Saccharomyces cerevisiae S288C: one gene and its partners. The protein of the gene in region 4 interacts with the protein of the main gene of each other region in a biochemical or structural test. Each region holds a gene or a part of one and is shown on either strand. Other genes may lie near its edges. The genes, in order: UBC9, SLX5, SAW1 and NFI1.

Region 1 (4,933 bases), on a different chromosome or scaffold from region 4:
ATTTTGGCAGGATTGTTGAATCGTTATCCGCTTTGCAAGCAGCAGAACAGCAACCGCAGCTAAAACCTGCAGGAAAATCCAAAATAGAATCTAAAAGGTTGTTATTCGATTTTGCCGATAACTTACTGTCGTTAGTGGTGGCTCTGTCTAATGGATCCGACGATATTCTTAATGAGATATTAACGGAAAGTAAAATAAATGAAATTTTTCAGGTCATTTCACAGCTATTAAAATATGGTGTCGAGAAACTGCCAATTAATCTGTTCAATACCACTCTTGATCTCATTTATGATTTGAGTTCCGAATCATTTGAATTTATTGATCATGTTTCCAACAATGAACTTCTATCACAGTTCTTAAATGGGCTATCTCCGGCTTTACATCCACAAGCTAATGAATTAACAAAAGTTCTAATTGAAGGTATCCATTGCCAATTCCTTGACATGAAAATAACTTATGATCAATGTAACAAAATGATCCACTCTGTATGTCATTCCATTAATAACATTGATCCAGTACAGTTAGTTAATGACATTAATAACCCTGTAGAAATTGGACCTGCTACTAGTAAAGATGAAAGCAGTAAGGTTATAACTAAGATCAAGGATTACAATGCGAAACGTAACGAATCCATGATAAAATTGCAAAGCATTGAAATAGCAATTGATCTTATCACCGCAATCATTGAGATAGTTGCATCCAAATATGAATCACCAGAATCACAGGAAGTAGCAATTCCAGAGGAGCTAATCAATACCTTAACAAATTTCTTACCTCACGTTTTCATGATTTTGAAAGATACCTTCACCTCGCGAATATTGATCGGATGGAACAATCTGATCTGGCTCTTTGTGTCTCTATCTCTAACAGAGCTCTCTGGAGAGTTGTTAACCACCTTATGGAGTTATGTTACACAGTTGGACAGCCAAGATGATTTGAGTATTAAAATAGGAAGAATGGGCTGTATTTGGGCGCTTCTGAAACTCATCTTTCCTGATGGAGCGTTTGAAAGTGAGAATCGAGCATTGATCAATGTCCAAATGCTGAACAATTCAGGATTCGCTAGGGGAATTATTGAAGAGTTCCAAAATAATAATGACCTTGAGTTACAACAAAAATGTATTAATGTACTAAGCACATATGCTATGATTCAGGGACAAATTGATGCAAATAAGGAGATTGGGCAGTTCTTCATACAAACTTTAACACAGTTGAATGTTCGCCCTGAAATTTTGATAGAAATGACAAATTCGCTTTTCCAAATTTACGGGGATGCCTCTTACGACTATAATGAACCAATATTTGTAAGGGGTGGATTTTTATCTATTCTAAAAGACCAAGTTGTACCAAATTTGAGGCAGCAATTCAAAATGGTTGATAAAAACAAAAATCCCGAACTAAAAGAAAGATGCCATGATTGCTTTACTACGTTGGATAGTTTCATTCACTACAAAATGAATGAAAATTCTACTAACCAATAGATTTATTAAAGTGTATATAGTTGCCATACTTATAGAAAATGGTACAAAAAATATCTTTCTATTTACTTAGCATAAGAAACAAAGAGCAAAAAATTATTTTTGAGAATTTGTAAATAATGTTATTTTGCTCTATTTTTGTTACACAACGACATTAGTTAAATAAAGTACAAAAGGAGGAAGAATGGGAAAGATGGATTCCCTCTATTTAGAGTACTGTTTAGCTTGAAGCAAAACTTTCTTGTCATATTCCGCCTTATTTCTTGAAAATGATCTCCATGCAGGCTCTTGAGCAGGGGAATTTGGATTTGGAGAGTCTAAAAGATCCTGAACCCCAAGAACAATTTGTTTTAACGTGATGGCGGGTCTCCAATCTTGATCTTCATTTAAAATACTTAAACATATTGTGCCACTTGGATACACGTTTGGATGATAAAATCCGGCTGGAAATTTAACCTTTGGAGGTTTTGAAGGATATTCATTTGGATATTCGACTGTAATTGGGTACACACCACCCGCCCAGTTTGTACCTTCTTTGCCTGGGATACCAGCTTCCCATTTCTGTAAATCCATGGACCCATCAGCTTTCTTAACTGGTTTGGCATAAAATCCAAATGGATGATCCTTTCTCCATTTTTTTCTGTTATTCAAGTAAAACAAGTTAAGTTCATCGATTTGTTAGTATACCGCTGGATGAAATTGTGTATGCCTACAGAATGTAAGCATAAAAGGAGGAAAACTACTACTTACCTTTCTTCCTGAAGACGCTGTAGACACAAACTACTCATATTGCTTCCAAAAAATGGTGCCAGTGTGTGCTTATCCTATGCTAAATTTCTCTTCTTTTTTTAAATGTTTGTTATGGAGACAGGAATAATTTTTAATTTCCAGATGTTAAACGCGGTTTCTGAGAGATATAAAGTGAAGAAAGAATTACAAATTGTGGGAACCGAAGTATTGACGGAAAGAAGAAATGCCAAACATACAACACGAAGTAATGAATGAAAACGAGTACGATAATTTTGATGATTTGGATGACCTTTTAGATGAAGATCCCACTAAACTGGATGAAGCAGAGCCCGATGATGTGCAAGCGAAGGGTTCTGTGTACAACGATAGTGAAAACAAAGAGAAGAATGCCGAAAGTAAGGACAGTGATGGCGTACAGGTAGCTAATGAATCTGAAGAGGACCCAGAATTGAAAGAAATGATGGTAGATTTGCAAAATGAGTTCGCAAATTTGATGAAAAATAACGGTAACGAGAATAATGTGAAGACAGAAGATTTTAATAAACTGATTAGTGCTCTAGAAGAGGCAGCTAAAGTACCTCATCAACAGATGGAGCAAGGATGTAGTAGTTTGAAAAGTAACAGCACTGATAAAGGGACCGTGAATGGTAGCAATCCGGGATTTAAAAACATTGTTTCCAATACGCTAGACAGGTTAAAGGAAAATGGTAATAAAGTTGATACATCCCTAGCCGAAGAAACCAAGGAATCTCAACGCAGTGGCCAAAATAATAATATTGATGATATATTGTCACAATTATTAGATCAAATGGTAGCATCTGGTGGAAAAGAAAGTGCAGAAAATCAATTTGATCTAAAAGATGGGGAGATGGACGACGCAATAACAAAAATACTTGATCAAATGACGTCAAAAGAAGTATTATATGAGCCTATGAAAGAAATGCGTAGTGAGTTCGGTGTTTGGTTTCAAGAAAACGGTGAAAATGAAGAGCATAAGGAAAAGATAGGCACCTACAAGAGGCAATTTAATATCGTAGACGAAATTGTAAATATTTATGAATTGAAAGATTATGACGAGCTAAAGCATAAAGATCGTGTTACTGAACTTTTGGACGAATTAGAACAGCTTGGTGATAGCCCTATTAGAAGTGCGAACAGCCCCCTAAAACACGGTAATGAAGAAGAAGAACTCATGAAAATGTTGGAAATTGATGGTAATGATCCGAACTTGGGGAACCTTGATAAGGAATTAACCGACGGTTGCAAACAACAATAAGGTATATATATTTATGATAACAGTAAAAAAAAAAAAAAAAAAGTAGTTCATTATCCTAGAGCATAACTAAGTATAACACTTTAAAAAATGAAAAAAAAAAGTGGTAGATTGGGCTACGTAAATTCGATTACTCGATCGACTTGATTTCTTTTTGTAGTCTTTTTTCAACGGCATCCAAAAATTCTTCTGTGGTAACATAAGCAGATCTTTCGTTGTTACCGCAAGCCAAAGCCAAGTCCTTCGTCATGATACCGTCTTGCTGAACTGTGTTCAAAGTGGCGGATTCCAAAATATTGGCAAATTTACACAAAGCAGGAGTATTGTCCAATTCACCTCTCTTCAATAGACCTCTCGACCACGCGAAAATGGATGCAATGGAGTTTGTAGAAGTTTCTTCACCCTTTTGGTACTTTCTATAATGTCTTGTCACGGTACCATGAGCAGCTTCACTTTCGAAAGTTTTACCGTCTGGTGTAACTAAGATAGAAGTCATCAAACCTAAGGAGCCAAATCCTTGAGCGACGATGTCAGATTGGACATCACCGTCATAGTTCTTTAGCGCCATGATAAAGCCACCTTTAGATTTTATCATTTGAGCGACCATATCATCAATTAAACGGTGTTCATAGTGGATCCCTAGTTGTTCGAATTTGGATTTATATTGAGCTTCATAAACTTCTTGGAAAATGTCTTTGAACCGACCGTCATATTTCTTCAAAATAGTGTTCTTGGTTGACAAGAAAAGATTTAGCTTTTTGTCAATGGCCAGCTTGAAAGACGAATGAGCAAACCCTTCGATGGATTCGTCAGTATTGTACATGGCCATGGCCACACCACTGCCCTTGTAGTCATACACTTTCAAAGTTTGTGGTTGAGCAGTCGTAGGGTCGGATGGCTTGTAGACCAGTTCCAAAGATCCTGGGCCTGGGATCAGTGTGTCCGTAGCTTTATATTGATCACCGTGGGCGTGTCTTCCAATAATGATTGGTTTTTCCCAACGTGGGACCAGTCTAGGAATTCTAGGAATCACAATGGGCTCTCTGAACACTGTACCGCCGAGAATGTTTCTGATGGTACCATTAGGAGATTTCCACATCTTGTGCAGGTTGAATTCCTTCACACGAGCTTCATCAGGAGTGATGGTGGCACATTTGATACCAACACCATACTTCTTGATCGCCTCAGCAGCATCCTGAGTAATCTTGTCGGAGGTGGCGTCACGAGATTCGACAGATAAGTCGTAGTACTTCAAATCTACGTCCAAGTAGGGTAGAATCAATTTCTTCTTGATCTTATCCCAAATGATACGGGTCATTTCATCACCGTCCAACTCGACAACGGGTTGTTTGACCTTAATCTTACTGAAAGCAGCAAGGCGAGAGGTGGAAAATAATCTTCTAGATAACATACTCATGCTGGGCGATCTTCC
Region 2 (5,852 bases), on a different chromosome or scaffold from region 4:
TTATCTGCAGACACGGAAGATACAAAAGTTATCTCGGCAGCTTACCCTTTATATCGAATGCAGGCGTAGACAAAAGTGCGTTGCATAACTTACCAAGGTGAAGTGCATGGACCAGCAAAGGATAGAAGTTATTGTAAACATCGAAACCATAAACTTATATATGTATATATGAAGGCATTAAGCGTTTTATGTTTTCACAACCCTTTTAAGAGATGTCTTGGACAAAAAAGCTTCTTCGTTGGTGATAGCTTCTTTATTCCAACTCCGAAACGCCTTGTGCTAGGAAAACTACGCCTTTCCAACTACACTGCATTTCACGACCTAATCATTCACGACCTCTTTATTTATATATTTATTCTTAATTTTTTCTTCTTTCCTTTTTGTAACAATTTCAATTATTGGAAGGTTTTTCACGTTGCTCAACCGAGAATTTACCATCACTCCAGACTTGTAATGATTCTAAAAGTTTCCCTTGAGTGTGCAGTTTCTTGATTTCTTCATTACCTCCTCTTGATACTCCATTAACCAAAAGGTTTGGAACAGTTCCTCTACCGGTCACCAACTTGATATATTCTTGCAGCTCTTCCCCATGTCCATGTTTGTCAAGTTCTATAATATAGTAGTTTGGGATAAACTGATACTCATTTTCAAGCAGTTCCTTCATGCCCTTGCTATATGAACAGGTGCTTTTACTAAATATTATAATCGGAGACAAGTCTAGTATGAGGGAGTATTCTTTTTGAACATTAAAAGCTTTGGTTATTCGCGACCCTTTATCGTTTTTAATGGCCGACAAACTATCATCAACCGATGCTATGGGCTGTTGGAGTCCCACCTTCTGTTTTATTTCATTAATTTCTTCGTCTACTTCAGAGCTCCCCTTATTCGTGGTAGAAGTCGGCATAGCAGCATATTCCCTGGAAGATCCTCCAGCCATATTGTCCATATTAGTACTAAATGCTTTAGAAGTTTCCTCTTTTATCTCTACCGTCAAGAAGTTCGCATTTTGCGCTACGAAAAACACTAACAACAATAATAGCGTTGTAATGCTTAAAATTCTAGCATTTCTCTTATTGGAAGGTATCATAATAAAATTGTTTCTATATTAAACCGCTAGGTTGCTAAGGTTTCGTCTTTTCTATCTTACGATAATTTGCTTAAAAGTTCATTTAGAGAATAGATAGTGATCTTTCCCAGTATAATGTTTTCCCGATTTCGCGAACGCTCCGCCTCAGGCGCCCCGGGACGCGTCATGCGCGTTCCAGAAAGTTAACTAACTGCTAGTGCATTCAATTTCTCAAGGCGTAGTATTTGGGATCTATAAAGCCTTCGACATTAAGCACTATGCTTAAAAGCGAACAGCCTGCGCCACTACTTAAGAGCGAATCTTGTGTGGAGGGATGACTAGGTCCAAAGAGGGAGAAAAGGATCTTGCGGAAAAGTCAACAACACTAATCGGTAGCTGAGTCTGTCAGTGCATCCTTACTGGCTTACTATTTTCATTCATGCTGCAAGTAGATTATCCTCTAGTTAAATTAAACGCGGATGAACTACGCCATTAAATCCATCATAAGAAACTAATTACTACTTTTAGGAAATTAGCCAACTAAAAACTGCTGAAACGCCACATTTCACATAAAACCCCACGGAGCAGTAATGGGAGATCTTAAGCTCAGCCCAGTACATATGTCCATCAGCCTTGAATAGCCACGGTGAGTTCTCGAAGCTTCCTTCCACCTAGTCCAGAATATTTCTTGGTAAATGGCTCGAAGTTTTCGTATTAAACGATGCTATCAGCGGCATCGTGAAATATTGAAATATAAAAAGTATTTACGCAACCGAAAAGGATATTAAGACAAACCCATACAATAGCCCATAAACCAAGCAAATACACATCTCATGTCAGCTCAAGATTATTACGGAAACTCTGCCTCCAAACAAAGCGTACGTTAATTTTACAAGTTTTGCCTTTAGAAGATCACATCGTACTAACGAGCCCTTGTATTTTCATTACATCACTTTCGATTCAGTATTCTCGTCCTAGCGCTCCACCACCAGGATATGAAACGGCGTCTAGAGGTTACGCTCCATCGCAAAGCCAACAGAACTATTATCCACCTCAACAGCAGCAGCAGCAGTATCAGCAACAACCTCAATACTATCAGCAACAGCAGCCCCAATATTACCAACAACACCCACAGCAGCCCATTTATGTCCAACAACAACCGGCCAGTTCTGGAAATGAAGACTGTCTAGCGGGCTGTCTAGCGGGTTTATGTTTATGCTGTACTTTGGATATGCTGTTTTAGAGTATCTCCATATCTTGTGGGAGCAAACCCTTTCACACAAATCCACTATATAAAACAAAGCACAATTGCACCTCTGATCTTTTAATCTTAATTAAATAAGCGTGATTAAAGTGTTCATGCAAGTAGATAATATATAATGATGATAAGTTCGAAAATGCCCTTATAAAAATTAAACCGCGTGCTAGAAGTAAACCTCCTTCAACCTGCCTCTTGAACGAATAAGCTTCTTACAAGAATCTGCGGGACATAATTTGGGGCCATAATTATCCGGATGAGCCGAACCCTTTAGTTGAGCTAGTTTCTTTTTGGGCATCTTAGATTTTTTTTTTGCATTGTCAATCCTGGCGAAACACCTACCACAAAATGCATGACCACACGATGCAATAAACGTTCGTTTTGATAAATCTCTATCAAGCATTGATGGTCTGGCTAGGGTTTGGTAGGGGCAGTGGAATTTGTATTTTGACACTAACCCTTCAAATGAAACACCACGATCCTTTTGACTGATTCCAGTAAAATCATCCGGTATTCCGACCCCCAATTCTGCGCCACACAAGCAACAAACAGGAATATCCTCGAGTGTTTTTGCTAAATCGTCATCTGTCACAATGATGGTTTCTTCTTTACCATTTTTCGTAATGTCTAATTTCATTTTTGGCGTAGTATCAAATGACGCGCTATAACCTTCGGGTAGGCTGGCTGCCCTAGCTTCGAATTCTTCCTGTTGGGCTCTGGTTTTGTTCATTAGATTCTTCATGACCACATCCCGCTCTCGTTCTTCTCTCTCTTGGATCATATCAATGATATTTTGAGTGTGTCGTTCCTCGTCAGCATCGCTCAATGCTGGGCCACTCCACAAACGACTTAAGAACCCATCCTCTCCATTGAAATTAAGATAGTTTGTGATTGATTCACGTAATGTGCCACGATGGAAAACTCTTCCTGCCGTTCTTTCTTGTCTTTCCAATGCTTCTCGGTGAAGTCTCAAGGCCTCTTCCTGAGTATTTCTGACCCTATCAATGGCCCAATTCTGCAGCAGTTGATTTCTGAACTCAGTGAAGAGTGCCATTAGTTCTTCTTCACATTCTTGCAAAGTAATTGGAGCAACATTTTGTAAAATAGACCTGAATTCATGCAGTGACTCTGCACGATGAAAAGCACTACGAATATCAGGCGTATATGATTGTATTCGTTCCCTGATTGATTGTAACCTAATAGATGTACTTATATTTTCGTCACTGGACACCCTTTGCTGTTGTACCCTACGTTGTCTTTCTGCAATCCGTCTGCTCATTCGCATACGGCTCTCCCTACGAGCCCTTTGAATAGCTTCTGGTAAATTATGGGTATCATCTGTCCAATCTTCATCGTTTTCATCAGACCGGTCCACAAATAAATTACGGGCTCTTGTAGCACTCCTTCTCAGTAACTGCCTGCGTGATGCGCCTAGATCTTCTTGGAATTCAAATGACCTTCTTATCGGTATGTCTGTTGTCGTCGCAGTTACCTCAAGCCTCTCCCCGCCTGGCAGGTTCAGTGTCACTCTGGGTCGTGTTGTTCTCTCTTCAACTATTGTCAGGCCATCATCACTTTCATTGTTATTACCATTATCATTCAAGTACCCGTTTGTGTTATCTACTTGTATTGTTCTTGGAGTTTCTAACGTTTCAGAACCTGGCTCCTGATCAAGATCGACGTAATGTGCAGAAGGATCAATAGGTCCATCGTCTCCAAAAAACCGTCCAACTTCTCGTATTATAGTGATATCGTCGTTATTAGCTTGAAAATCAGGGCGCTCAGAGCTTGCTGTTATGTGAGTCCGTTGAGAATTCCTGCTCCTTGAATCTGACCTCACAAACCTATTTAAAGCATCACGTCGTCTCCCTACCCGTCTGTCTGGGTACAACCTCACAGGAAGGTTAGCCTCGCGAATAGAAGCGTCTTCTTCCTTATCACTATCTATTAATATAACTGTCTCATTTGGATTATTGTCTGATGGGCTATTATTGCTCTTTGTTCGACCGTTAGTATCGCTATGCATTCTATTATTTCGACTATTAGAGGAGCTCCGCGTTCCAAATAATAATTTTTGGACTGAAATCTTTTCAAAAGTTCACTCCTAGACTGAAGCTCCTAGTGCAAATTTCGACTTGGTTATTACCAATCAACGCAACACACGCTCTTCTTAATGATTAAGTCTTCGTTTTGGTCGCACACTGCCTCTCATCCATGTTAAATAGTAAATATTGCGACCTTGCGTATACAGTGATGTTTCTTATGGGCAAAGCCAAAAAAAAAAAAATACGTAAGAGTGACAGATGAAGAAGTGACACTTTGAACAAAAGACTCTATCAAAATTTTTTCAGATTCAATCCAAGGATAAAGAGAAATCTATGATGTAGTGTTACAAGAATTAATGATATATGGTCATCAAACAGTGTCGAGACTGGAGAACAGCTTATCGATATTGTTCCTACCTTTAAAAAACTCGAAATATGATTATGATTTCTACTTGCTTGCTCTTAACAATTAATGACCAAAAAGTCACCACATATACTCTTTTTTTTTTATATGGCGAATACGTACAATACTTTTGTTCTCTAAAAGAATTTAGTAATATCTATTTTACAAAGTCGAGGGTTACAAAAACTTCAAATAGGAAGTGAAACTGAATGGGGGAAATATATATAAACGAAACAATTATTCTGCTAATAATTGAGCAAGCTACCAGAAACTTTTGACTAATTTCCTTTATTCAACTTATTTCTTCAAACCGCTTCTCATGTATCTACCAACGACGATACAATGGTCTCTTTCATATGGCTCTAAAGTCAATTGTTCTAATGGCTTAATACGTTCCTCACGTAACTTTTGAACTTCTCTAGCAAAAACGGTTTCCGCGTCTACAGTAGAATCAATACAGTTAGCCTTAATGGAGATAACAACACCACCTTGGTCCTTCAAGAACATATGAGAGTTCAATGCAATAATACGAGCTTGATCAGGCTGGGCAACATCTGCGAAGACACAGTCAACCATACCAATCAACATTCTGTATTTTTGTGGGTGTCTAGCATCTTCAATGATTGGGATGATATTAGGTCTCTTCTTTGCCATAGAAATCAATTCTCTGCCTGGTCTGTGAGAAAATTCTACGGCGTAGACAACACCTTCTGGACCAACAACATCTGAAACGTGAGAAACAGAAGTACCGGAAGCAGCACCTAAATATAAAACTTTCTTGCCTGGGGCAATAAATAATTCATCTAGACCACCCATAATACCGGCAGCCAACTTAGATCTGAATGGGTTCCATACACGGTATTCGACCTTGGTTGGTGGGACACCATCTTCCTTAGATGGTTCTTCAACGGAGATTCTCTTTTCACCATAAACTGATTCACCTGGGGCCATGTTCTTGGTAACTAGCAAATCTTCTTTACCTCTAGCAATGTAAACACCGGCATGTCTATGTGGTTCAATAACGACCTTGGCACCACCACGGGCACCACCAGCAGCGCCACCTCTACCACCTCTGGAGCC
Region 3 (4,826 bases), on a different chromosome or scaffold from region 4:
GGATCAATACCCAATAATTCACATGCGATTTGCAGGTTTTGCTCTTCCGATGATAGTGATGCGTCGTTTCTAGTCATTTTCATCTCGATATTACCTATATGTAGCAAGCCTGCAAGAATTTTGAAAATTCCAAGCTGAGTCTCGTGGTTTATACCTACTAATGACAGGGCATCAGTGGTTATCTTGTATTCTCGAGCTTCATCTATACCAGCTATGTTCGGCTGTCCACCTTGGTTAGTATAATGGTAGTCCTTGGGAGATGACAAATGCAGTTCTTGTTTTACCGGTTCTGGCAATCCTTCCAAAATTTGGTAAAAAATATGGTAATTTCTTTCTGTCTCTGGCTGATAAACTAACCTGGATTTTTCCAAGAGATAGGTTCTAATTTTGGACCCCCTGATGGTAGTATTCTCATCAAATAAAATTTGCAGATATTTGCCGAAACGAGAGGAATTATCATTTCTGGTAGTTTTGGCGTTACCAAAGGCTTCCATGATCGGGTTAGTAGCTAAAATTTGGCTCTCGATTTGAGACATTTCCACTTCCCCTTCACGATTGTTGCTTTCTTGGACTGAGGCAAAGTATCTCATAATGTATTTAGCAGAGACGGTCTTACCAGCACCGGATTCACCACTGACTACAACAGTCTGGTTAGCCTTTTCATGGACCATGAACCTGTACGCCTCCTCTGCTATGGCAAAAAGGTGCGGCTCCAGCTCATCTTTACGCTTACTAGAATAATTCTGTATCATCTCGCGAGAGTACAAATGGTCGACTTTATCAAAGGGATTAGCGGCAATAAGGACAATACCAGAGTAAGTATATATCTGTCCATTCATGTATCTTTTTTTTATGGCATGCAGCACTGCCGGTTCGTTCAGATATGATAGGGTGGTTAAGTCATCAGTAGACTCTAAAATAGGTGGGTTTCGTAGTACAGGTAGCGTGGGATGATCATCATCATTTTCGAAGCTATTTGTTTCAATGGATACAGTTTCTCCATCCTCCAATTTCAACTCTAAGTGGAACGTTCCTTCAAAGAAGTCATTCTTGGTGACTTCGCCGCCTATCCAGCCTTGTTCTTTGTGAGGGTACCAACACTTAGTTCCTACTTCAAATGACATGCGGGAGAACTGGTTATAGGATTTTTTTTGTTTTTTTGTGTTTTAGAATTAGATTGAATTATAAAAAGAAGAACAAAAGGGTATCGTATTGAAAATAAATTGTCTCGCCAAACTGGTAACAATGTTTTCAGCTAGAACAATAAGAAAAGAAGAGAAGGTAAAAAAAAAGGTGATAACTCCGTAGGAATTGAGGAATTGAGTATGCAGAATCAGAATAAAGGCTGACTTTCAAAAAAAGGTTGTATTACAATTGCAGGTTTTCGATAAAAGAGACCCTATTCTCATCTACTACTGCTAAACTTCGAGATATTTTCGAATTTTTCAGTCTTTTCTTTTTTTTTTTTCGCATTAGTTCAGAACCCTAAAGAATGGTAAACATTCTATGGATAACCCGGAGAGTGAGTTTCTTAAAGACCTAGTTTTATTTTAAGGGTTTTAACTCAATCTTGATGTTTTCATTGTGTACCCTAAAGAAAGTTTAAGAATAGCCCTAACTGTTACCTTTTGAAATAAAATAAGGGGAAGGTCAAAAAGCTATTGTTCTATTGTTATGAAACATTGTCTCAAAGAGTAAGAATAACACAAATTGATGGCAGTTTTTTACGTAGTCCAGTAGTTGTCCAGGTACAATGCAAAATGCTCAAATAAAGAGCTCTTCTAAAGGCAGCGGAATAGATGGTACAGATCGCAATAGCAAAGATGGTGTAGAAAAGAGACCCCTGGAAGATGTAAAGCAAATGATTGACGCTGGAACACCAGATGTTGGCCACAAATCTACTGTTGAAACTAAGCCAAACGTTGGATGGCAAGCCTCTCACAGTAATTTGGCTGCATTACACGAAAAAGAGCAGAAATATGAAATGGAGCACCATCATGCTCGTCATAAACTGCATCGTCAAGTTATTCCGGATTACACGTCTGCCTCGACCGCAATGTTCAGCGATTGTATGTTCAACGCAGCACCAGATAAAGTACGAAGTCTCAGTACGATGAAGTCTTCTGGACTCTCGCCAAAACACCCATTTAACGTAGTCGCCACCTTTAAAGGACCATTCCCGCAGCATAGTGTAGAATCAAAGCCTCTCGATGGTGGATACTCTGCCAAAGACCATTTTCCCTCATTTAAGATGTTGCAAGCCCAGCAGCACCCAGCCCATCGCCATTACAAAGACAACGACAAGTACGGTCTTAAATCACCTTCCCGGTCCTTCGTGAAGGACAAGAAAAGGTTGGTTCACCGGTTTTTGAAATCCATGGAGCCTTCTTCGTCTGGGCAATCTAAGGATTCGTCTGCACTGGCGCCGGCTTTCGATCCAATATTGCCCAATGTTATATCTAAGCCTTCCAAGCGACCCACACATCATTCGCATTCATCAGACGGGAGTTCTAGCACGCAGACAGATATATCGTTACAGAGCTTGCTTTACCATGATCTTGAAAGCTCACCAAAGAAACATGTTTCGCCCTCAAGACCGCCCTCTGTAGCTTCCGAATCCTCTCCTGCCGTTGCTAATCCCATTGGGCTTTCGCCAAAAGACGCCTGCAATGCATCGTTTTCGCAGTCGTCCTCATCTTCGTTGTCTTCTTCTTCATCGTCTTCATCATCGACGTCATTCTCACAGTCAGTGGCTGTTGATCCTCTTGAACCTCCTGGAAATATCACATATAGTAGTTCGAATCTTTCGCTAAATTCAGATGAATTAGACTACTATCAGCGTCATATCGGATTGCAGTTACAGCAGACAGAAGCTTTACTAAAGCACAGTTTGAAAGATGAGGTTCTGAAAGATGAAAATGACCTTGTTAAAAACATTGCAAATTTTGACAAGATCGTTAAAGAGCTAAGGGACTTAAGATCCAGGACCATTGGATGGAAAGAGCTTGTTGAAGAGGATTATTTAATGAATTTGAAACAGGATTTTGACAAGGAAAACCCCGAATCATTTGAGGCACGTTTGAGTGATACAATAAATACAAACGTGGCAAAATTACAAGATTTAGAGAAAAGAATGGCTTCTTGCAAAGACAGGTTGGCCTCTAGGAAGGAAGTAATGAGGAAAATGGAAAGTTTATTGTCTTTGGAGAATTCCTTAATGATATCCAAAAAAAATGTAACATTCGCATCTAAATACCGCAACGAGGCCCTTGATATTGTCTTTTTAATTATCATCATCGTCATATGCTATACCTTCAAGCATCTAGTATCGCATAAATAAAAAATAGTATTTGTATATCAAAAAATGATCCTGTGATTTTTTCATATGTAACGTATAAATGTAAAAATGTGCTTCTTCTGGTATTTTTAATCAAGTGGAAAGATGAGTGGAAAAAAGGGCAATGAAATAGAAAAGGACAGGCCTGAAAGGGAAGAATACAAGAAGATTGAGTATATTGGACTTCACAGTAACCGTGAAAAATGGCACCAAGTATAGCAACGGTAAAGATAGCCAGGGACATGGTTTTGCCATTACGTATATTTGTCAATAGAAAGCAGATCCTTCAAACCAATGATAAGACTAGCAATAAGTCGAATGCCACTATATTTGAAGCACCATTATTATCAAATAACTCCATAATCTGCTTAAAATCACCAAATACAAGAATATATTTATCGCAACAAGATAAGAAGAATCTTTGTGACGAGATCAAGGAGGACCTGTTATTGATTGTTTACGAACTAGCGTCCCCGGAAATCATCAGTTCCGTACTCAGCAAAATAAGAGTTGGTCATTCTACTGATTTCCAAATCAACGTTCTGCCCAAACTTTTTGCAGGTGCCGATACGGATAATGCGGTAACTTCTCACATCCAGTCTGTGACAAGGCTGGCTAAATTCAAATACAAGTTGCACTACAAACATAAGTGGGAGCTCGACATATTCATCAACAGCATTAAGAAGATCGCCAATTTAAGGCACTATTTGATGTTTCAAACATTAACATTAAACGGTTTCTCATTAAATGCAGGACCCAAAACGTTATTAGCTAGGAAAATAGAAAAACAGCCCCAGGTACCTAATTTGTTAATAGAAAATGGGGACGCTGATGCCCTGGATACACCGGTGGAAGAGGATATAAAACCTGTAATAGAATTTATGTACAAGCCTGTTATTAATTTAGGTGAAATTATTGATGTACATGTGTTGCATAGGCCTAGAAGACATAAGGTACGTACCCAGTCGAAGCAACCCCAGGAGGAATGAAAAACCGATAACAAAGTGATGGCTTAATATTATAACTTCTATATAACGGATATATTTTATGGTAAATGTACATATTTCAGTAATGGTAATAATGACTTTTCTTTTTATCTTATTTTTATTTTTGTATTTTTTGTCTTCTGCTCTTTGTTTCTGTGCCTCATATATCAAATGAAATATCATCTCTCGAAGAACTGAATCTATTTGAATTTTGATTACCATCAGCAAATGGATTTTCAATGAACGGTTCTGCACTTTCAAAGTCGTTACTTCCCAGTCCATTATTGTCATTAAAGGGGTTCGCCGAAGCATCTTGTAATTCACCGTACTTACCTCTCTTTTGAGTAGTATCATACATTCTGACAATTTTTTCTTGCCCACCCTCTTCAGCCTGTGAAAAGGCAAATCCTCTTTGTTTTTTCATTCTTTGCACTTGCCTCACCTTCCTGATGGCATTTTGAAATTGCTGAACGTGCGGCCTAGAGTCGCTGATATTGTATTTC
Region 4 (6,626 bases):
AATGCTTCAATCAAAAACTTTCTTCTTAATTCAGCTTTTTGTAATCTCACTTTCTGTGCTGAACCGTTACTGGATTTTATACTCTGGGGTTCAGCAACGGTCTTCGCAATGAGATTATCCACGTCGATAAAGTTTACCTTGGGTGATAATCTATGTGATCCTTTTGGATGTTTTACACCTTTGGCATACCCAATACCAAGAACACCCTTGGGCTTGGGTGATTTTACCTTATTAATAATATCAGTCTGCTTTGTAGTGGGGCTCTTCAGAATGGACCTTGTTGTGGGGAAAACCCCACTTTTAAAACCATACTTGGCCGCACCTTTCCCCATACTTCAATTATCCTTGTTATTATTGTTGTTGACAATCAGCAATGAAACTATTACCTAAATAATCCATATGTAGATTCTCTTCTTTATTCTACTCCTCTTGGGAATCACTTTCCTACTCGGCGACTTCAGGGTTCTACTTGCACTTCCGTTGCTAGTGATTTTTCATTAGGGCCAATATTTTTACCCTCATTACAAACCCTTTATTGTAAAAGCGGGTAAATTAGGGCCATGTTTCGTATTTTATAACCCGGCCGAGTGGCAAAATACCAAAAAGAAAGATGAAAAGGATAAACTAATAATTCAGCAGAAGGGTGATCAGTTGAGGTGGAGAGTTTGTATAGTAAAGCGTTAAATTTTTTCAGGAATACTCCCCCCACATAAACCTGATTGTAGAAAATAGAATTGAGTGAGCATGGCAGGTTTATCGTTCGACAATTATCAAAGAAATAATTTCTTAGCGGAAAACTCGCACACACAACCTAAGGCAACTTCCACGGGTACCACCATTGTAGGCGTAAAATTCAATAACGGAGTGGTGATTGCAGCAGATACAAGATCAACACAAGGTCCAATTGTCGCAGATAAGAATTGCGCAAAATTGCATAGAATTTCCCCCAAAATATGGTGTGCTGGTGCCGGTACCGCCGCCGATACTGAGGCAGTTACGCAGTTGATCGGGTCTAACATTGAATTACATTCCTTATATACCTCGAGAGAACCAAGAGTGGTCTCAGCTTTACAAATGCTAAAGCAGCACCTATTTAAGTACCAAGGTCATATTGGTGCTTATTTGATTGTTGCAGGTGTAGACCCTACGGGATCTCATTTGTTCTCCATTCATGCGCATGGTTCTACTGACGTGGGCTACTACCTTTCTCTAGGATCTGGTTCTCTAGCGGCAATGGCTGTGTTGGAATCACACTGGAAGCAAGACCTTACGAAGGAGGAAGCCATAAAGTTGGCCTCTGATGCAATCCAGGCTGGTATCTGGAATGATTTGGGGTCTGGTTCTAATGTGGATGTGTGTGTCATGGAAATAGGTAAAGATGCAGAATACTTGAGGAATTACTTGACTCCAAATGTTAGAGAAGAAAAGCAGAAAAGCTACAAATTCCCCAGGGGTACAACTGCTGTGCTGAAGGAGAGTATTGTCAATATTTGTGACATACAAGAAGAACAAGTCGATATAACGGCTTGAAAGTAAAACATAGAACTTAAGTATATTTTAGTATAGTAAATCATTGTTCAACAAAATGTGATAAAGGAAGTCAAAAACTAACCGCAAAACTATTTACATAATATATTTTCTTATAGCAGAGCTTATTATTTGTTCTTGATTCTTTTTCTTTTTTCTTTTTTTTATGCTTTGAAGTGTGTTAGTTGATTTTTGTTCGTTAATTTTCGTGTTAATTTATCCATCCATTTTAGCTATTTTATCACACAGAGCATAATATAACAAACACAGCTCAGTACCACACATATAACATAACACTAAAATTAACATTTCTATAGTCATCCGTTTGTTGGTCTTTAAAGGGCTATTACTGAGGCAAATATCAAGGAACTAAGAATACCACAAACGATACACTGATAATCAAGAAACGTATAAGGGAAAAGAGCACGATGGCAAGTGTCATGTCAAATAATAATAATAATAATAATAATAATAATGCCAGTTATATGTTTACGAACCCTTTGTCCAACACAGGTGGTGGACTCATAAATGAAATAAAAGATGCAATAAATGAAATGGAACAATTAAAGGTTCTAGAGTTAAAGCAAATATGCAAATCTCTGGATTTATCCATAACGGGCAAAAAGGCTGTCTTACAAGACCGAATAAAACAATTCTTAAGAAAATCCTGTGATATTGGACATATAGATCCGTGGAGGCCTAAGGCTATTAAGATTCTTATCGCGAAAGTAAGGATAAACTCATCATTACCAAAATACTCTACCCTTTGGGAAACTTTAAAGACGGGTGCGTTCAAGCATCCTGTAGCATCGGGGCAACTACCCGTGACAGCTCTCCAGAGTACTGCATTGCCACCTTATTCCCAACAACAGGCCTTAGCATATTCTTTTACCTCACCGTTTTACAAACCAATAGTACAAATACCGGATGCCAATAAAAAATTGAAGCAATCTGCAGGAAGAGGTTGTACAAAAATGAAGTTCAAGGTAAGTAAATCTAATCATGATCTTTTGAAATCTAACAAGAGTTATAAACTGTATTTGTTTTCTGGCTTTTCAATACCGTTTATATATGAAACTGTGGGCCATGAGGCAATAGATTTCCCGTATCCCTGTGAACTAGTGTTTAATGGCACCAAACTAGAGGACAACGTGAAAGGTTTAAAGAAACAAAATGGGACAGGTAATCCTGCAAATTTAACGCCTTATCTTAAAGTACCGACCGAGATGAATCACCTAGACTTACATTATCTCAATATTGATAAAGAGTACTCTATAAGTTGCTTTATAGTGGAAGTTTTTTCACCTGAAGCTCTTCTGGGGAAAATTCTGAAAAGGCCCAAAATTATCAAGCAAGCCACCACAGCATACATCAAAAGAACCTTGAATGAGCAAGATGATGACGATATTATTACAACCTCCACGGTGCTGAGTTTGCAATGTCCTATATCTTGTACAAGGATGAAGTATCCGGCGAAGACTGACCAATGTAAGCATATCCAATGTTTTGATGCTCTCTGGTTTCTTCACTCTCAGTCACAAGTCCCTACATGGCAGTGTCCGATTTGTCAACACCCTATAAAATTCGACCAGTTGAAGATTTCCGAATTTGTAGATAATATTATTCAAAATTGCAATGAAGATGTTGAGCAAGTTGAGATATCTGTTGATGGCTCATGGAAACCGATTCATAATAGTTCGGCCGTTATAACGGATACTGTTAACCAAAATCACAGTGTGAAAAACGAGAACCAAGGCACTGTCAAACAAGAGCAAGATTATGACAGCCGAAATGCCTTCGATACTAATTTGCGTAATGGTTCAAACCACAACGAACCCGAAATAATATCTCTGGATAGCTCAGATGATGAAGCCTTTATTCCGGCTAGTAAAAGCTTCCCAACGCACGTGAACCCCCGTAATGACCAATTAAGAGCAGATATATTTCCCTCAGAATCGGAAGGATCCAGTGACTACAACCCCAATCATACATCAACGCCGAAAGGTTCTCCAACTATGGACCAAGATAATTATCAAGATGCTTTTCAAATGAGGTCATTTTTGAACCAAGGCGCTACTACAAATATAAATGACACACCGACGAACAATAGCAGTATTAATTCTTTCGTTACGGCGACGAATGGTGACAGCAGAATATTCTACAATAGAGGGCCATCAACGCCACTATTACCGGCTGTTCTACAAAATTTGACTAATCAAACGGAAGCGCAGAGAAACCCCTACGGACCTAATTACAATACCACAGCTCAAGATCGTAATCTTTTGGGAATCGAAGGTGATTTGCCTCCAATCCCCCCTGTGGACCCAAATTCAGAAGCAGAAACTGAACTACCAACAAGGACCACATCGGCGGCACATCTCCCTCCATATATACACGTGAGCACCAGCGGCCATGGGGATGATGGAAAAATTAGGAAGAGAAGGCATTCTAATGTTTCTATCTACATTCCGAAGAATCCATACGCCACCCTTATGAAACGGAGACCACAGGCAAATCACGCCATAATGAATAAAACTCTGGCCCAAACTAATGACTTTAACACATCGGCTCAAGATAACTCGGAAGTGGTCGATTTAACATCAGATTGATTAACCGTCTTTTGATTTCTTTCCTTTCCGATTGTATTCTATTTTTATTTCTATTGTTTCATTTCGCTCTTAATATTGACTTCCACTTTTGGGCGTAAATGATGTTTTTGTTTTGATAAATATTACGACTTTTGTTATGTTTTTTTACTACTGTGGTTACTTCATGGGTGTAGTGTGCGAATCTGCAGTGATAGGTTTCTATAGATTTCTCTGTATACTTCCTGTATTACACTATAATATTTCATGTCCTTTCACTTCCCACGTTTAGCGGGACAGGCCGCCCTTAAATTAACAAAATTTAAAAGGTAAAGGAATGTACTAAGAAAAGAAAACTATTCAAAGAAAGTAACAAAAGATCGTGAGTTAACTTATAATAGCAATGTCCTCAAGATATAGAGTGGAATATCATTTGAAGAGCCACCGCAAGGATGAGTTTATAGATTGGGTAAAGGGGCTACTGGCCTCACCTTTTGTTCTACATGCCGTCTCTCATGAAGGTGACTACAATGACGACTTAGCAACAACTCAACGTGTAAGGTCGCAGTATGCTGATATCTTTAAAGACATTGAAGGGCTGATTAAAGATAAAATAGAATTTGACTCAAGAAACATGAGCCAAGACGAAATTGAAGATGGCGCCTCTTCTCAATCTCTGAATATATTAGGACAATCGCGTTTAAATCTTTTGGTTCCATCAATTGGAACATTCTTTACGGAACTTCCATTGGAACAAGCTTTTCTATGGGAAGACTCACAACGGGCCATTTCGGCGCGTAGAATGGTAGCACCCAGTTTTAATGATATCAGGCATATCCTGAATACTGCACAGATATTTCACTTTAAGAAACAGGAGAACTTACATAATGGTAAGGTTTTGAGATTAGTGACTTTTGATGGAGATGTGACGCTGTATGAAGATGGTGGCTCCCTGGTTTACACTAATCCTGTAATTCCTTATATTCTCAAGCTGTTGCGGTGCGGTATCAATGTGGGAATAGTCACTGCGGCCGGATATGATGAAGCTGGAACCTATGAGAACAGATTGAAAGGATTAATTGTTGCATTACATGATTCAACTGATATACCAGTTTCTCAAAAGCAGAATTTAACAATAATGGGTGGTGAGTCGAGTTACCTTTTCCGTTACTATGAAGACCCGGAGGAAGATAACTTTGGCTTTAGACAAATTGACAAAGAGGAATGGCTATTGCCTAGAATGAAGGCTTGGTCCCTCGAGGACGTGGAAAAGACTTTGGACTTTGCCGAGAGAACTCTTAACAGGTTAAGAAAAAGACTAAACCTACCTTCAGAGATTTCTATTATCCGTAAAGTCAGGGCAGTGGGTATCGTCCCAGGCGAACGGTACGATGAAGCTTCTAAAAGACAAGTTCCTGTTAAGCTTGATAGGGAACAACTGGAGGAAATAGTTTTAACCCTTCAAAACACTTTAGAGTCTTTTGCCCCATCTAGAAGAATTCAATTTAGTTGTTTTGATGGTGGTAGTGATGTCTGGTGTGATATTGGGGGGAAAGATCTTGGTGTTCGTTCATTGCAACAATTTTATAACCCTGAATCTCCTATCCAACCCTCTGAAACCTTACACGTAGGCGATCAGTTTGCACCGGTGGGATCAGCAAATGATTTTAAGGCAAGGCTAGCTGGATGTACCCTCTGGATAGCATCCCCTCAAGAAACAGTGAATTATCTTCATAGATTATTAGAAACTGATTAAAACAGTTTATGTAAAATGAAATTAGGACTATAAAAGTATATAGATATTTCCTATAGAAACACCTCATATATGGCGGTGGATTTTTTCATCTTGAATGAATTATGCTTAGAATTATGATTATGGGCCCTCTAGGATTCATCTGATTGCTTGTTGAACAATGTCTGCCTTTTCAATAGCGCCATTTTTGCTCTCTTCGAAATCTTCAAAGTAAAGCTCTCTCGTTATTAATAGATAGGATATCAACCCTACGAAGGCGAAAAATGACGCATAAACAATTCTTCTTTGAAAACTGACTTCTTTTTCCAATCTTTCCAAATGCAATAAATGACGGTTAGTAAATTTGTCATTCTCCAGTTTCTGTTCTTCTAATATACGTAAAGATTGATCTTTCAATTGATTGGCAAAGTTATTCAGCAGATCTAGATTACTCATCATTGTTTCGTTGAATATCGTGACAAGATGACTGAACTTTGCTTCGTGCGCCATTTCAAGTTGTTCAAACGATTTAGATAGCAGTTTGCTCTGTTCCTCAATGTAAGAAACTGTCAAACTAGAATTTGTCTCCAGTTGTGACAGCCTTTTCATGATGTTCTTAAAAATGGATTCTTCTGGAATTACAGGAACAGCCGAAGAAGAAGAAGAAGATATCATTTGCTTGGAAGGACAAAAGGATGCATTAAGCACCTTGAAAAATTCATCGAACTTCAAAGGGATGAGCTTTGAAGTACATGATAATGCACCAGCTAAGTCTGAGAGAT

The links.
Region 1: the proteins of NFI1 (region 4) and UBC9 form a complex in vitro, tested with the Saccharomyces cerevisiae proteins (11 studies listed by BioGRID, with this or other methods).
Region 2: of the proteins of NFI1 (region 4) and SLX5, one has a biochemical effect on the other in vitro, tested with the Saccharomyces cerevisiae proteins (one study listed by BioGRID).
Region 3: of the proteins of NFI1 (region 4) and SAW1, one has a biochemical effect on the other in vitro, tested with the Saccharomyces cerevisiae proteins (one study listed by BioGRID).

Annotation. Positions count from the first base shown.
Region 1 is NC_001136.10:334,820-339,752, reverse strand, and holds UBC9 (E2 SUMO-conjugating protein UBC9), read right to left. Parts: upstream 2,267-4,933; coding exon 2,229-2,266; intron 2,119-2,228; coding exon 1,683-2,118; downstream 1-1,682. Other genes in the region: SYO1 (Syo1p), read left to right, coding at 1-1,481; PEX19 (Pex19p), read left to right, coding at 2,476-3,504; isocitrate dehydrogenase (NADP(+)) IDP1, read right to left, coding at 3,632-4,918. UniProt on the Saccharomyces cerevisiae protein: E2 ubiquitin-like--protein ligase mediating SUMO/Smt3 attachment to septins and PCNA. Seems to be involved in degradation of S- (CLB5) and M-phase cyclins (CLB2).
Region 2 is NC_001136.10:427,565-433,416, reverse strand, and holds SLX5 (SUMO-targeted ubiquitin ligase complex subunit SLX5), read right to left. Parts: upstream 4,351-5,852; coding exon 2,491-4,350; downstream 1-2,490. Other genes in the region: YDL009C (uncharacterized protein), read left to right, coding at 169-492; glutathione-disulfide reductase GRX6, read right to left, coding at 392-1,087; YDL012C (uncharacterized protein), read left to right, coding at 1,900-1,944, 2,031-2,309; rRNA methyltransferase NOP1, read right to left, coding at 5,070-5,852. UniProt on the Saccharomyces cerevisiae protein: Component of the SUMO-targeted ubiquitin ligase (STUbL) complex SLX5/SLX8 that mediates ubiquitination and subsequent desumoylation of sumoylated proteins and proteins containing SUMO-like domains for their degradation.
Region 3 is NC_001133.9:91,147-95,972, forward strand, and holds SAW1 (DNA-binding protein SAW1), read left to right. Parts: upstream 1-3,540; coding exon 3,541-4,326; downstream 4,327-4,826. Other genes in the region: MYO4 (myosin 4), read right to left, coding at 1-1,124; FRT2 (Frt2p), read left to right, coding at 1,754-3,340; aminophospholipid-translocating P4-type ATPase DRS2, read right to left, coding at 4,484-4,826. UniProt on the Saccharomyces cerevisiae protein: Catalyzes 3'-non-homologous tail removal of RAD1/RAD10-dependent single-strand annealing recombination intermediates. Plays a key role in targeting RAD1/RAD10 complex to 3'-flap cleavage substrate in recombination.
Region 4 is NC_001147.6:625,870-632,495, reverse strand, and holds NFI1 (SUMO ligase NFI1), read left to right. Parts: upstream 1-1,955; coding exon 1,956-4,136; downstream 4,137-6,626. Other genes in the region: mitochondrial 37S ribosomal protein mS26 PET123, read right to left, coding at 1-332; PUP1 (proteasome core particle subunit beta 2), read left to right, coding at 745-1,530; ISN1 (IMP 5'-nucleotidase), read left to right, coding at 4,516-5,868; SLP1 (Slp1p), read right to left, coding at 6,004-6,626. UniProt on the Saccharomyces cerevisiae protein: May act as an E3 ligase mediating SUMO/Smt3 attachment to septins. May be involved in chromosome maintenance.